Drosophila melanogaster: one gene and its partner. Changing the gene in region 1 together with any one later gene gives a genetic interaction. Each region holds a gene or a part of one and is shown in the gene's direction. Other genes may lie near its edges.

Evidence for each region.
Region 2: of fkh (region 1) and byn, changing one enhances a phenotype caused by changing the other (phenotypic enhancement), as found in Drosophila melanogaster (one study listed by BioGRID).

What each region holds. Positions count from the first base shown.
Region 1 is NT_033777.3:28,580,458-28,587,101, reverse strand, and holds fkh (fork head), read left to right. Parts: upstream 1-1,837; 5' UTR 1,838-2,548; coding exon 2,549-4,081; coding exon of another isoform or gene 4,082-4,627; 3' UTR 4,628-6,126; downstream 6,127-6,644. UniProt on the Drosophila melanogaster protein: Fkh promotes terminal as opposed to segmental development. In the absence of fkh, this developmental switch does not occur. The nuclear localization of the fkh protein suggest that fkh regulates the transcription of other, subordinate, genes.
Region 2 is NT_037436.4:11,925,606-11,930,790, forward strand, and holds the start of byn (brachyenteron), read left to right. Parts: upstream 1-2,087; 5' UTR 2,088-2,418; intron 2,419-5,185. UniProt on the Drosophila melanogaster protein: Required for the specification of the hindgut and anal pads.

The sequences.
Region 1 (6,644 bases):
ATACAATAAAAATATTAAATATTTAAGCACATTACGGTTATTAGAAGTGCACATAAGGATTTGAGTACATATGTGCTCAGTCACCGAAAGTGTTTGATGTTTAATGATCATCACGATGGGATATAGATATCCGAGTGGCAAGCCAAACAATGTTAAACAGGTTAAATATTATGAATACCATTGTTGAGCGAAAGATTTTTTCCTGATTCAGTTTCGCTTATCTCTCAATCTTATCTAACCCATGGTTATTGTAAACAATTATTCAAACAATTTGAAGATAATCTTGAATATGATAAAAATATTACTCAGTAGTGCTTTTGTGAAGGGGAAACGGCTCTATATGACATAAGTCATTAGTCATTATAATTACTCGGAAATGGGGCGATCATAAAAATGTGATTTCTCCCACAAGCGAAATGTTTCATTACATTTCATTGATAATTTCAAAAATTCAATGTCTCAGCGCCTAGATGAAGGCTACAAAAAAGTGAGAGGAGAAAGAACTGCTGCATTGACAAATGGAAAAGTAATGCGGAAATTCCCCGCTTTTCCTCCCGCTCAGGTAGATCTTAATTGAGCAAAACATTCATTGAGAAACGAGACAATCGTCCTTTTATGACACGCAATAATGAGCCTGGCTCACACACATACACTCTCACGGATTGGCACACACTCGCACACGGACACACACACACAGGCACTCGCAGATACACTTGGCCAAGCGAAAGGGTTAAGCGGAATAGGAAAGGCGTCTATGGTTTATGGCCCGAAATTAGAATGCGTTTTATCCGGGACCATAAACGTGGATAAATTGCCAGGATACCAGGAAGTAGCTGCCAGCACGCGCTATCAATGAACTGTGGATGCTTATGTTTCGGGTATCTTAGGTAGGATGCAGTGGGATGCTCGGATGAGATGCGGCTGATGCTGGCCAGATGCAGAACTGGGTCACTTTCGCAATGACTTGCCAAAAAGGTGAACTGCGCCGCTGTTCTGATGATTTGCTGCTGCCGCTCGCGATGCCTCGCCACGAATGCGAATGGGAATGAATGAGAGTGACATTGGCATACCTTAACCTCAAAAGGGAAAAAGCGGTACGGATACGAAAAAAAACTGGCTGAAAAAACACACACAGATATTATTAAATGTCTTGTTTGGGAGCCAAACCCAGCCAAGCCAAGCCAGGCCAGGCCAGGCCAAAACACTCGGTCTTTTTGTTTCTCTCGAAAAACAGAGCGTCGTCGCATTCTCAGTCTCCCCAGAGATTCGGTCTCCAGAACCCGTCTTAATGGTTTTTTTTCCACATTTTTTCTTTTTATTTTCTGATAGCACGCTACGGCGAGAAGGAGAGCGAGCGATTATTGATCGCATTAGGGAAAATCGTTAACTGTAACATGGCGTCGCTCAGCATTAGGCTAGGCCACTGCGAATGTATCTGCAGCTGTATGCGTATCCGGTATCTCTGCCCGTGTATCTCTGTCCGCACCGCTGAGGGTGTGTGAGTGGAGGGCGTTGCTGACTGCGGCCTGGCCACGCCCCCCCAATGGCCAGTTGCCTGGCAACCGGCCCTGCTCTGTTGATACAAGAGGCCAACCGACCAATGCGCTTGCGCCGCAGCACCACTGTGTACGTAAGAGAACCGCCGCCTGTCATTGGTAACTCCGCCAGGGTGGTGGTGAGACGCACTATACCGCCGGGCCATTGGCGAGAACGAGTCGGAGCTGGTGCTGCCCGGGCGCGTCGCTGCTGCCGCTGCCGCCGCTGTCGACGCCGACGTCGGCCGAGGCACTTGAGCGCGGCTCGAACAATATTTGTTGGCAGCAAGCGCAAGCCAAATAGTAGACAAGCGTTCCCCTCTGCAAACAGTCACATTCAAGAGCTCAAGCCAAAGAGACACTCGAGCGGACCAGCAGCTAAAGCGGCAACGGCAACAGCAGCATCAGCCAAAGCAGCAAAAGCAAAAGCAGCAGCAGCAAAAGCAGCAGCACAGCACAGCACAACTCCCAGCTTCAGACTTCAGTGGCCAACAGCCAGCTAGATATTCACGTTCGTGCGTCGGTGTTTTGTGGCCGCTCGGTGCGGCAGACAACAAAAATCCCCATACAAAAATACAAAGAAAATACAAAAAGAATCGAATCATAACAGAAAATAAATATATATTTTATATGATTATCCCGCACAAATAATTAAACCACGGTGTGTGTTTACAAACAAAGCTTAGAATCAGAATCAGAATCGCAAACGGAATCAGAACCTTCCAGCCAACAAGTGACAAGTGCCGAAGTGCTCTCGATAAAATGCCAGATATATGCAAACCGATTGAAGCAGTGATAGTGCACTGAAATCACAGTTGATATACAATATATCAGAGTAAAGCCACGTTTTAAAGACCTCCTTTTTGATTTTCGTTTTAACTAACGCGTTGCAGAACGCGTTGCCTTTTCCATCGATCCACCAGAGGGCAGCGCCTCCGAAAGCCGGCAACATAACGGCGCAACTATTGAACAGCTTTCTGAAGGGTAGCCCCCACCAGACCACCATTGACATCATGCAGAAGCTCTACGCGGAGCCGCCTCCGAGCAGTGCTCCGGTGAGCATGGCCAGCTCGGGTGGCGGTGGTCCTCCGTCGGGCGGCGGTGGAGGCGGCGGCGGAGGAGGAGGCGGTGGGCCCCCACCGCCCAGCAATAACAACCCGAATCCGACGAGCAACGGCGGCAGCATGAGTCCCCTGGCTCGATCCGCCTACACAATGAACAGCATGGGCCTGCCGGTGGGTGGCATGTCATCGGTTTCCCCTCAGGCGGCGGCCACATTCAGCTCCAGCGTCCTGGACTCGGCGGCGGCGGTCGCCAGCATGAGCGCCAGCATGAGTGCCAGTATGAGCGCCAGCATGAATGCCAGCATGAACGGCAGCATGGGTGCGGCGGCCATGAACTCAATGGGCGGCAACTGCATGACCCCCAGCTCGATGAGCTACGCCAGCATGGGATCACCGCTCGGGAACATGGGTGGCTGCATGGCCATGTCGGCAGCGAGTATGTCGGCGGCGGGATTGAGCGGCACCTATGGCGCCATGCCGCCGGGATCCCGGGAAATGGAGACGGGATCGCCGAATTCCCTAGGCAGATCGCGGGTGGACAAACCAACTACGTACAGAAGGAGCTACACGCATGCCAAGCCGCCATACAGCTACATCTCACTGATCACCATGGCCATTCAGAATAACCCCACCAGAATGTTGACGCTCTCGGAGATCTATCAGTTCATCATGGATCTGTTTCCGTTCTACAGGCAGAATCAGCAGCGCTGGCAGAACTCCATTCGACATTCGCTGAGCTTCAACGATTGCTTCGTAAAGATTCCCAGGACGCCGGACAAGCCAGGAAAGGGATCGTTTTGGACTCTGCATCCGGATTCGGGGAATATGTTCGAGAACGGGTGCTATTTGCGGCGACAGAAGCGTTTCAAGGACGAGAAGAAGGAGGCCATTAGGCAGCTGCACAAGAGTCCGTCGCACAGCAGCCTGGAGGCCACCAGTCCGGGCAAGAAGGATCACGAGGACTCGCACCACATGCACCACCACCACCACAGCCGGCTGGACCATCATCAGCACCACAAGGAGGCGGGCGGAGCATCGATCGCCGGCGTAAATGTCCTGAGTGCAGCGCACAGCAAGGACGCGGAGGCCCTGGCCATGTTGCATGCCAATGCCGAACTGTGCCTCAGCCAGCAGCCGCAGCATGTGCCCACACATCACCACCATCAGCACCACCAGTTGCAGCAGGAGGAGCTGTCGGCGATGATGGCCAATCGGTGCCATCCGTCGCTGATCACCGACTACCACTCGTCGATGCATCCGCTGAAGCAGGAGCCCTCTGGCTACACGCCCTCCAGCCATCCGTTCTCCATCAACCGCCTGCTGCCCACGGAGTCCAAGGCGGACATCAAGATGTACGACATGAGCCAGTACGCCGGCTACAACGCCCTCAGTCCGCTGACCAACTCACACGCTGCCTTAGGCCAGGACTCCTACTACCAGAGTCTTGGCTACCATGCGCCCGCCGGAACCACGAGCTTGTGACATCACCAATACCCGCTGGCTTAAGGACGCGCGGAGCAGATGCTGCGCTCGCAGCAGCAACAGCACTTGCAGCAGCAGCACCAGCAACACCAGCAGCAACAGCAGCAGCACCAGCTGCATCAGCAGCAGCAGCAGATGCAGCAGTCGGCGCAGCAACTGACATCCGCTTCCAATACACCAGCAACATCAGCAAAGGCCAGCGGCAAGGCGGGATCGGCTTCGGCCTCGGGATCTGGGTCAGGATCGGGTTCAGGATCGGGCTCTAACTACTCACAGAAGCTGCAACAGCAGCACCAGCAGCAGCAACAACAGCAGGCGGCGGCGCAGCAGCAACACCACCAGCAGCAGCAACAACTGCTGCAGGAACTGCAGGAGGACTCATCGAACATCACCAGCGATCTGAGCGAGGAGCAACTGCAGCAGCATCAGGCCGCCCAGCAGCAGTTGTACAACAACTATCAGCAGTATGCCGCGGCGGCAGGCTACAGAAATTGGAATCACGGCCTGGCTTTCAATGGAGCCGCCGCTCTGCAGAATCTTCTGTAGCTATAGCTATAGATCCCGATCTCCACAGGCAGCGGCTTTGTAGCGGGCCTGCCAATTAGCGAGTGCAGTGGCGGTGGCTTTTAGCACCTGGCCGCATCCGCATCCGCACTCGCATCCTCATCCTTTGAGCACGTGAGTCTTGGGCCGCAACTCGCACTTGTACATATAGAGATACCTATGAAGAGCCGATCGAGAGCGCTGCCTTTTGTGTTGTTCAGTTCCAGTACTATATATTGTAGATTATATAGATTCTGTTCCGGGGGGTTATTAAATCGACATAGAGCAGGAGGAGGAGGAGCGAAAGAAACCGTGATGTAGTTGTAAGTGCAGCAGAACTTTTGTTAACAATTTTACGTTTTGCTAATACAAATACAAAATAATAATTCCGTGCCATTTGTTTTCGTTGTTTCGAAACAAGCAATAACAATCAAAGCGGTTATAACTGAAAATTTGAAATCACATTTTAAATGTATCCGATTAAGGAGAAGATTGAGGAGAGGAGATGTAAAGAAGGGATCGTGTGTAATGTTCTTTCATAAAACAAAGCCCCAAATGAAACAGTCCCAAAAAGAGAGATACAAATACTAAACCCTTTATCCAAAGGCAATCGCAATCGAATTCGAATCGCAAAAGATCAAAACCAAAAAGAAATCTAAAACCGAAATCATCATATTGAGCAGTCCAGCAAAACCCTAAGAATCTTCAACTATCTAAGCAACAAAATCTGGCCATGCATAAGAAAACGACACGTTTTAACTGAATAATTTAACAAATTTCCATTTATATATACGCGCATCGATATACGCCCATGTATCGCAAAATCCCGCATTTCATTTACATTATGTGTCTTCTGTTGTTGTACGAATTCGTTAGATTAAGGCATTTTGTAAATAATCTATAAATAGATACATTTAAGCAACCCCCTCCCCAAGAAACCCAATTTAACTAAGGACCCATTGCAAGCAACCAATTTTTAACTAACTCGAGAATTAATCAAATTGTATGAAATTATGCCACACCACTTGAAAGTAAACATAGTATAAATATAAATACTGTATAGCATTTAACGTTTAATTAGCATAAATAATGAAAGCAAAAAACAAAAATGAAAAAAAATCACATAAAAAGCGAAACTGCAATTATTATTCAATAATTTTTAATATTAGTTATATTGTGCGTAATGAAAAATAAAAAACCAATTGCAAACACAAAACAAAGACCCATTTTTACATTGAGCTAAGCTAATTAATTAAACTTGATAAAAAATAGTCTAAATATAAACACCCACACACACACACACATACTGACACTGACAGACACAGAAACAAATGAAAATTATTGTAAAATACACAATATAAAATTCAATAAATGTCAACGCAAGAATTAAAATCCAACTCTAAAGCTAGTAAAATTAATATTATTATAAATCATGCAAAACAAACACAACGTCAACGACAACCAAAATCGACTATTTTAATGTTTGAAATACAAGAAAAAGGAAAAAAAGTACCATAAATTAGTTTTCATTTCCCAACCTTTGTTGACTCAAGCAACTGACCTCCAACAATCATTTATATATTGATTGGGCCGCCCGGATGGCTGACTATCTCCATCGACGCTATCGACGCTATCAATGCAGCGAATTCGAATTGAACGACCGATAGCTGAGCTGAGTAGTTCCAGGAGTCGCTATCTTATCGCCGTCACTCAGATGCAGAGTGCAGTTTTCCACCACTACCATGCCACGATAAACCCTTATCGCCGTGCACTCATAAATTGCAACGGAACAAGAAGGTAAACAAACAACCAGGATGGGACATGGGACCCATCCCAGCCCATCCCATACCGTCCTATACCGACCCATTCCCGCCCGGACTTGACACACTGACTAACCCATCTCAGTCCAGCACAACCCAGCCCGATCCCTCTGGCCAAAAAGAGCGGGAAGGGTAGTGGATATCTTCTGCCCGACTTGACTCGACTCCCCTCTGTTTGCTTTCTAGTAATATTCATGGAG
Region 2 (5,185 bases), on another chromosome or scaffold:
AATTCGCTTAGGCGGCCATAAAATGGAATTGTTTGCAAACACACAAGCAGAAAGGATTGGCCATAAAGCGTCTACAATGCCGTGCGGTGAATATTTAGGGCAAGGACGCTATCGTCATCGAAAGGATTGAGGATCGCGCTGGTAGGGTTCGCCCTCATTTCCGCGTACTCCTCTGCGCGGCGCATTCTTAATGAAAACGTGCGGCATCTTTAATGAATGACCAAAGGGAACTGGAATAGGTAGCCCAGACATCCGTCACGGTTGCGACAACTACATGGCGATCCATTCGATTCACTTGTCTATCCGCCAGATACATTTCTCCATTAGCCAACGCTCAGCCCTCCGGAGTCCCCTCCATTTTCATTTCCATCTCCGACTATTTTATTGAGTTCCCTAGTCTGTTGATTTTTCTCATTTACTACCGACGGTTGTACTGTTGTACCAGACCCTTAACTAATGGCCATCGTTGGCCGCGAGCTGTTTGTCTTTCAGCGCCATAGAATGCCCAACTTTTTGACCGTTCCCAGCCCCCTAGATAAAGTCGGTCCATTGACACGCGGCGATGACTTGGAACCGACTAAAAAGCGAGCTGCGATCCACGAAAAAACACAGACTGCCGATGCAAGAGGCGCGTGATCTCAAAAAAATCACGGAAAAGCTATAAATAGTTGGTGTTTCGAGTCTCGCAATATACAACTTTGAAACAACCCAGCAAACTTTCATTGAATCGCATTTTACTGTATTTACTATATAAATTAGCAATGAAATCAATGCAATAATACACGGATAATTAAAAGATATTTTTAGGTACATTTTTTCTATTTTATCTTCGATAATAAAATATAATGTTCGAAATGTAAAGTAAAAAATACAAGTGATATAGCATTTTAAAGTGTGATTCTCTCCAATGTGGATGCAAAATTTCAGTTGGTCATGTGTGGTCACGCACCGCCCCAAAAATCCAGCAACTCCGCCCCGGGGTAACTTGTATTTTGGCCACATACACAAATTGACGCACCAGAGTCAAATGTTTACAACTCGAAATTCAGCTGAAAATTTTACCAAAAAAAAAAAGTGTTGGATCGGCAAACCCGTTTTGGAGTGCAAACAGACCCCGTGGAAAAAATACAAAGTTTTAATTGGTTGGACAAACAAAACTCAAAACGAGCGTCTAAACAAATCAAAGCCACTCTGCGGCGAACAACGAACAACGTACTGTGAATCCAGACCTCAGACACACCGAAAAAAACAACTCAGATTTACATTTTAATCTCAGATTATCCTAGTTTAAGGGTTTTTGTTAGTGAATATCTTGATCTTTTGTATTGCATCTATTTGATATCAACCACTTATTAAACTATTTACATATGGACTCCAAGTAGTAACTCAAAAACCATGATTATGTACAGTAGGCATTTAATGAAAGAAGTTTCAATAACAACGGATGGGATATAAAGATAAAAGATTCCTTCAACTTCCAATCTACGGCTGAGACAAGGATTCCTTTGACAAATTCAGAGCGTCTATAATAAAGATCACAAAAGATAAGAGACTTTTTCTCTCTGTGCAACAAATGTGAGCAACTGAAACACGTTACACTTAATTTTTGGCGCATGCAAATTGAACGATTAGCCACGGGGGTTACAGCAGGGGTATATAAATCCCGCCTAGGACTCCAATTCTGGGCCTTCTGAGAGTTAAAGGTGTGCTCGCCCTGAACGATCCGACCCACCTGAGAGTTCGATGTTATGGGGGCTCTCTACCTGTTGCCGGGTTCTCGATGGCGATGGCCGCAAATTGACCAGCCGGGTGAGCGAGCGAGAGGCGAAATACCGCCGCTGTCTTACCTGTTAGAGGGTGTGGCCTAACCATCCGTCAGCCAGCCGATCATCGATCGGGCCAAAACGAGATGGCTATAGGACCGGTAGAGAGCTAGCACGCTAGCCGGCCATCATATCATCCATGGGCCAAAACAAGAAAACAACAACGATGCCACGATGTCGATCGGCTGGCCAAAGACGAGAGATGAGAAATAGAGGAACCGAAAGCGCGGCTTGTGATGGTTGAAAAAATTAGCACCGATCGTTGATCATTAGCTCGGGAACGGTGGCAACGCAAACACACGATCGGCGGCAGCGCTAAACTCCAATCTCGAATCTCGACTCGAATCAAATATCTTGAAATCTTTGAAAACAAATTTCACGCGGCTGTATCTTCCCACTTGAATCTGAACTCATACGATAGTGATCCTTGATAAAGTGAACCCTCTAGGGAATTAGTGCTATAAAAGTGCGTGATTTGGCAGTGTTGCGTATTCAACTAAAATCTAAATCTAAACCTAAACCATCTTCATAAGGAGTTTACCACTGGATTATATCGAGAGCGCCGAGTTTCGGCGTGAAGCAGGTTACCAAATTGGTAAGTTAGTTGCACTTTATCTCAATTTTGGTTTCAAAATTTTAAGTTTAAACTTCATAAGAAAGAAACTTAAACGAAAATTCGAAGTTTATTTTAAGAAACGCTTGTATTCCTTTTTAAAACATCTTTATTTTCGAACAGAAGTGTTAAACACTTCGTTTTAAATGCTAATAACAGCTATTAAACATTGCGAAACGTTGACTAATCTTTTTACTATTCAAAAAAGAAAAATCAGACATTTTTACGATGGAAGTAGACTTATGCGTCGGCAAAGGATATGTTGTACTTTTAAATATATATTTGGAAATAATTAACTTTTTGAGAAGAAAATGTAAAAAATGAAGTAGAATTGTGGCAGACAAACACTGACCCCAAAACATATGGCTCCCAAAAAAATCATAAAGTCACTTCTCCGATTCAAAAGTTTGGGTGCCATAAAGTGCGAGTGTTTATTCCTCCGTGTGACATATGACCATAAACGTAATCAAATAGCAAATTGGCAAACCTATTTAAACGAACGTGTGAAAATCAAATGCCGAAGCCAAACAAAATCACCAAACAGACATATTTTGACACTTGGCCAAAAAAAGAAGAAAAAAGTCAAGACGAAGTGTTGGCGGCTCGCCCGAAATCCAACGGGCAAGTGACAAAATCCCCCATTAACGATCCTAATAATACCTCTAATGACATAAAACAGCAGCCGAGAAAGGGGCGGGAGTGGCCGTGGGCGTGGCCGACGTTCACACGCAAATTAGTGGGGACATAAGAATTTTCAGACATGCGTCTGGGTATTGCCAAAAAAAAAACATCAAGTTGGATCGATCTGAGGCGTCCAATTACGACGCATGTGAAAATTATCCTATTAAATGCAAATCAAAGAGGCCCATAAACAGACCCGAAGGAACCCCCCTCACCCCTCCGCAACGCCCACGCAGATCGTTTAGTACTTGACAAATGCTTACTAATTAATTACAGTTTGTACAAAATTTTAGTACGCCGCTCATAAAAGTGCGCCTACCACTGTGCCGTGGAGTGCTGAAAACAAAAGTGTGACAATCGGTGTTTAAAGAAACGCCCACAAATCGCCAAAAAAAATATATCGAAAATATCCTGAAAGGTCACCAAGTTCTCAATGGAGCGACCTCTGACATTGTCCTCCGGAAACATTATTGATTGCATTAGAATCGAGCCAATTCACGGCTATTTCCATTTCAGTTCGCCCACGCAGTATCTAAATTTAAATTCGGTTTATTTTCACGCGAAGTGGTGTGTGAAATTTAGCAGATTCGGTTTAATCGCCTCCAACTGGCTACCAGTGACTTGTCGTCATCCATGCCACCCGCCAGCATCCTGAGCAGGTGCGAAATATTGTCCTTTTCAACAAAGTGCGAATGGGAGTGGGATAAGTCGATCGGAGTAGCGAATAAACAAACAGAGCATTTATTATTGCACGTGTTCGATTACCTGAGAGGAGGGCAATTGTGGTTATTGCTTTGAATTATATAATAGATACACTGGTTTTTATATTTTATAGAAAATCGATAGGTTAGCAACATCATCTCTAACTAATTTTAATACATTTAATATTTTAGCATTTATTGAATTTCATGTTTAACTACAAATGCAGCGCGGAATCAGTTAAAGTTGAACTATAATAATATTATTATAATTATTATAATATAATGAACTATTATAATAAAATGCTGCAAATTTAACATGATTTTTAGTGACTTTAGTGATAATCGTTTAAGAACCATTAGAGTGCGCTGGCACTCCTTCCTTTAAAAGTTAAAGCTGAACCCATCGAAATGTATCTATGAGATTCGCCGAATGTGTTTCCATCGGCGACCATTAGTGCGTACCTGTACATTGAGTACGTAAGCGCCATATTACCAAAGGTTCGCTTCGATTTGGAATAGCGCGCACATTTCATACGAAAAAAATAGGAGGAAAAAACCCCCTCAAAGCGTCTGAGTAAATATCAAAGTCACGAAATGATTCAAAAATCAACAGAGCCAACAACAAAGCGGCTGGCCCGAGATGGGGAAAGAGTCCAATGCAAACCCCAAGCCCCAAGCCCGAAAACCCGTCATGGCTGCCATCAAAAGTCAAAGTATATGCCACATATATACACATGGGCAAACAGTCACACACGCTTCCTCCGCTGAGGAGACAACACACAAAAACAGCTTTTCATTAAGCTTAGTGATGGAGCCGGAGCTGGGACACCGCGTCTTAAAATCGTGGTGCTGGAGTGGCGCGGTGGTGCGGATCGATGTGGAACACAAACACGGCCATGAGACGAGCCATGTGGCGGGGAGCCATGTGGGGGAACCAGCGTCATGAAGAGTGAATTTTTATGATGTCGTCGATGTCGCCTATTGGGCACATGAGAAAAACCCGCCAAGTATCGCGTGAAAATTATGATAATGCGGAGCGAGCACGAGCTGGGAAAATCGGAAACCTTTGAACATTCATAAACTGAATATAACTTTCGAATGCTGGCCCAAAGTGGTTGAACTTTTAAACTCGGCCGATTGAATTCGAATTGAAACTTTTAATTGGGCCCAGCTTCTGGTTGAAATGGTACGGACATTCGGGCAATAAGATGTCCCTGGTTAGTTGACAAGTATGTTATATTAAAGTTGGTATCCACTTTTAGAAGTTAAAATTGAAATTTATCCAATGTAAATGTATCTTAAGAGTTCTGATTTGATTCGTTGTCAACTCCACAACACATGTTTTCGAAAACAGCTCGCTTTGATTG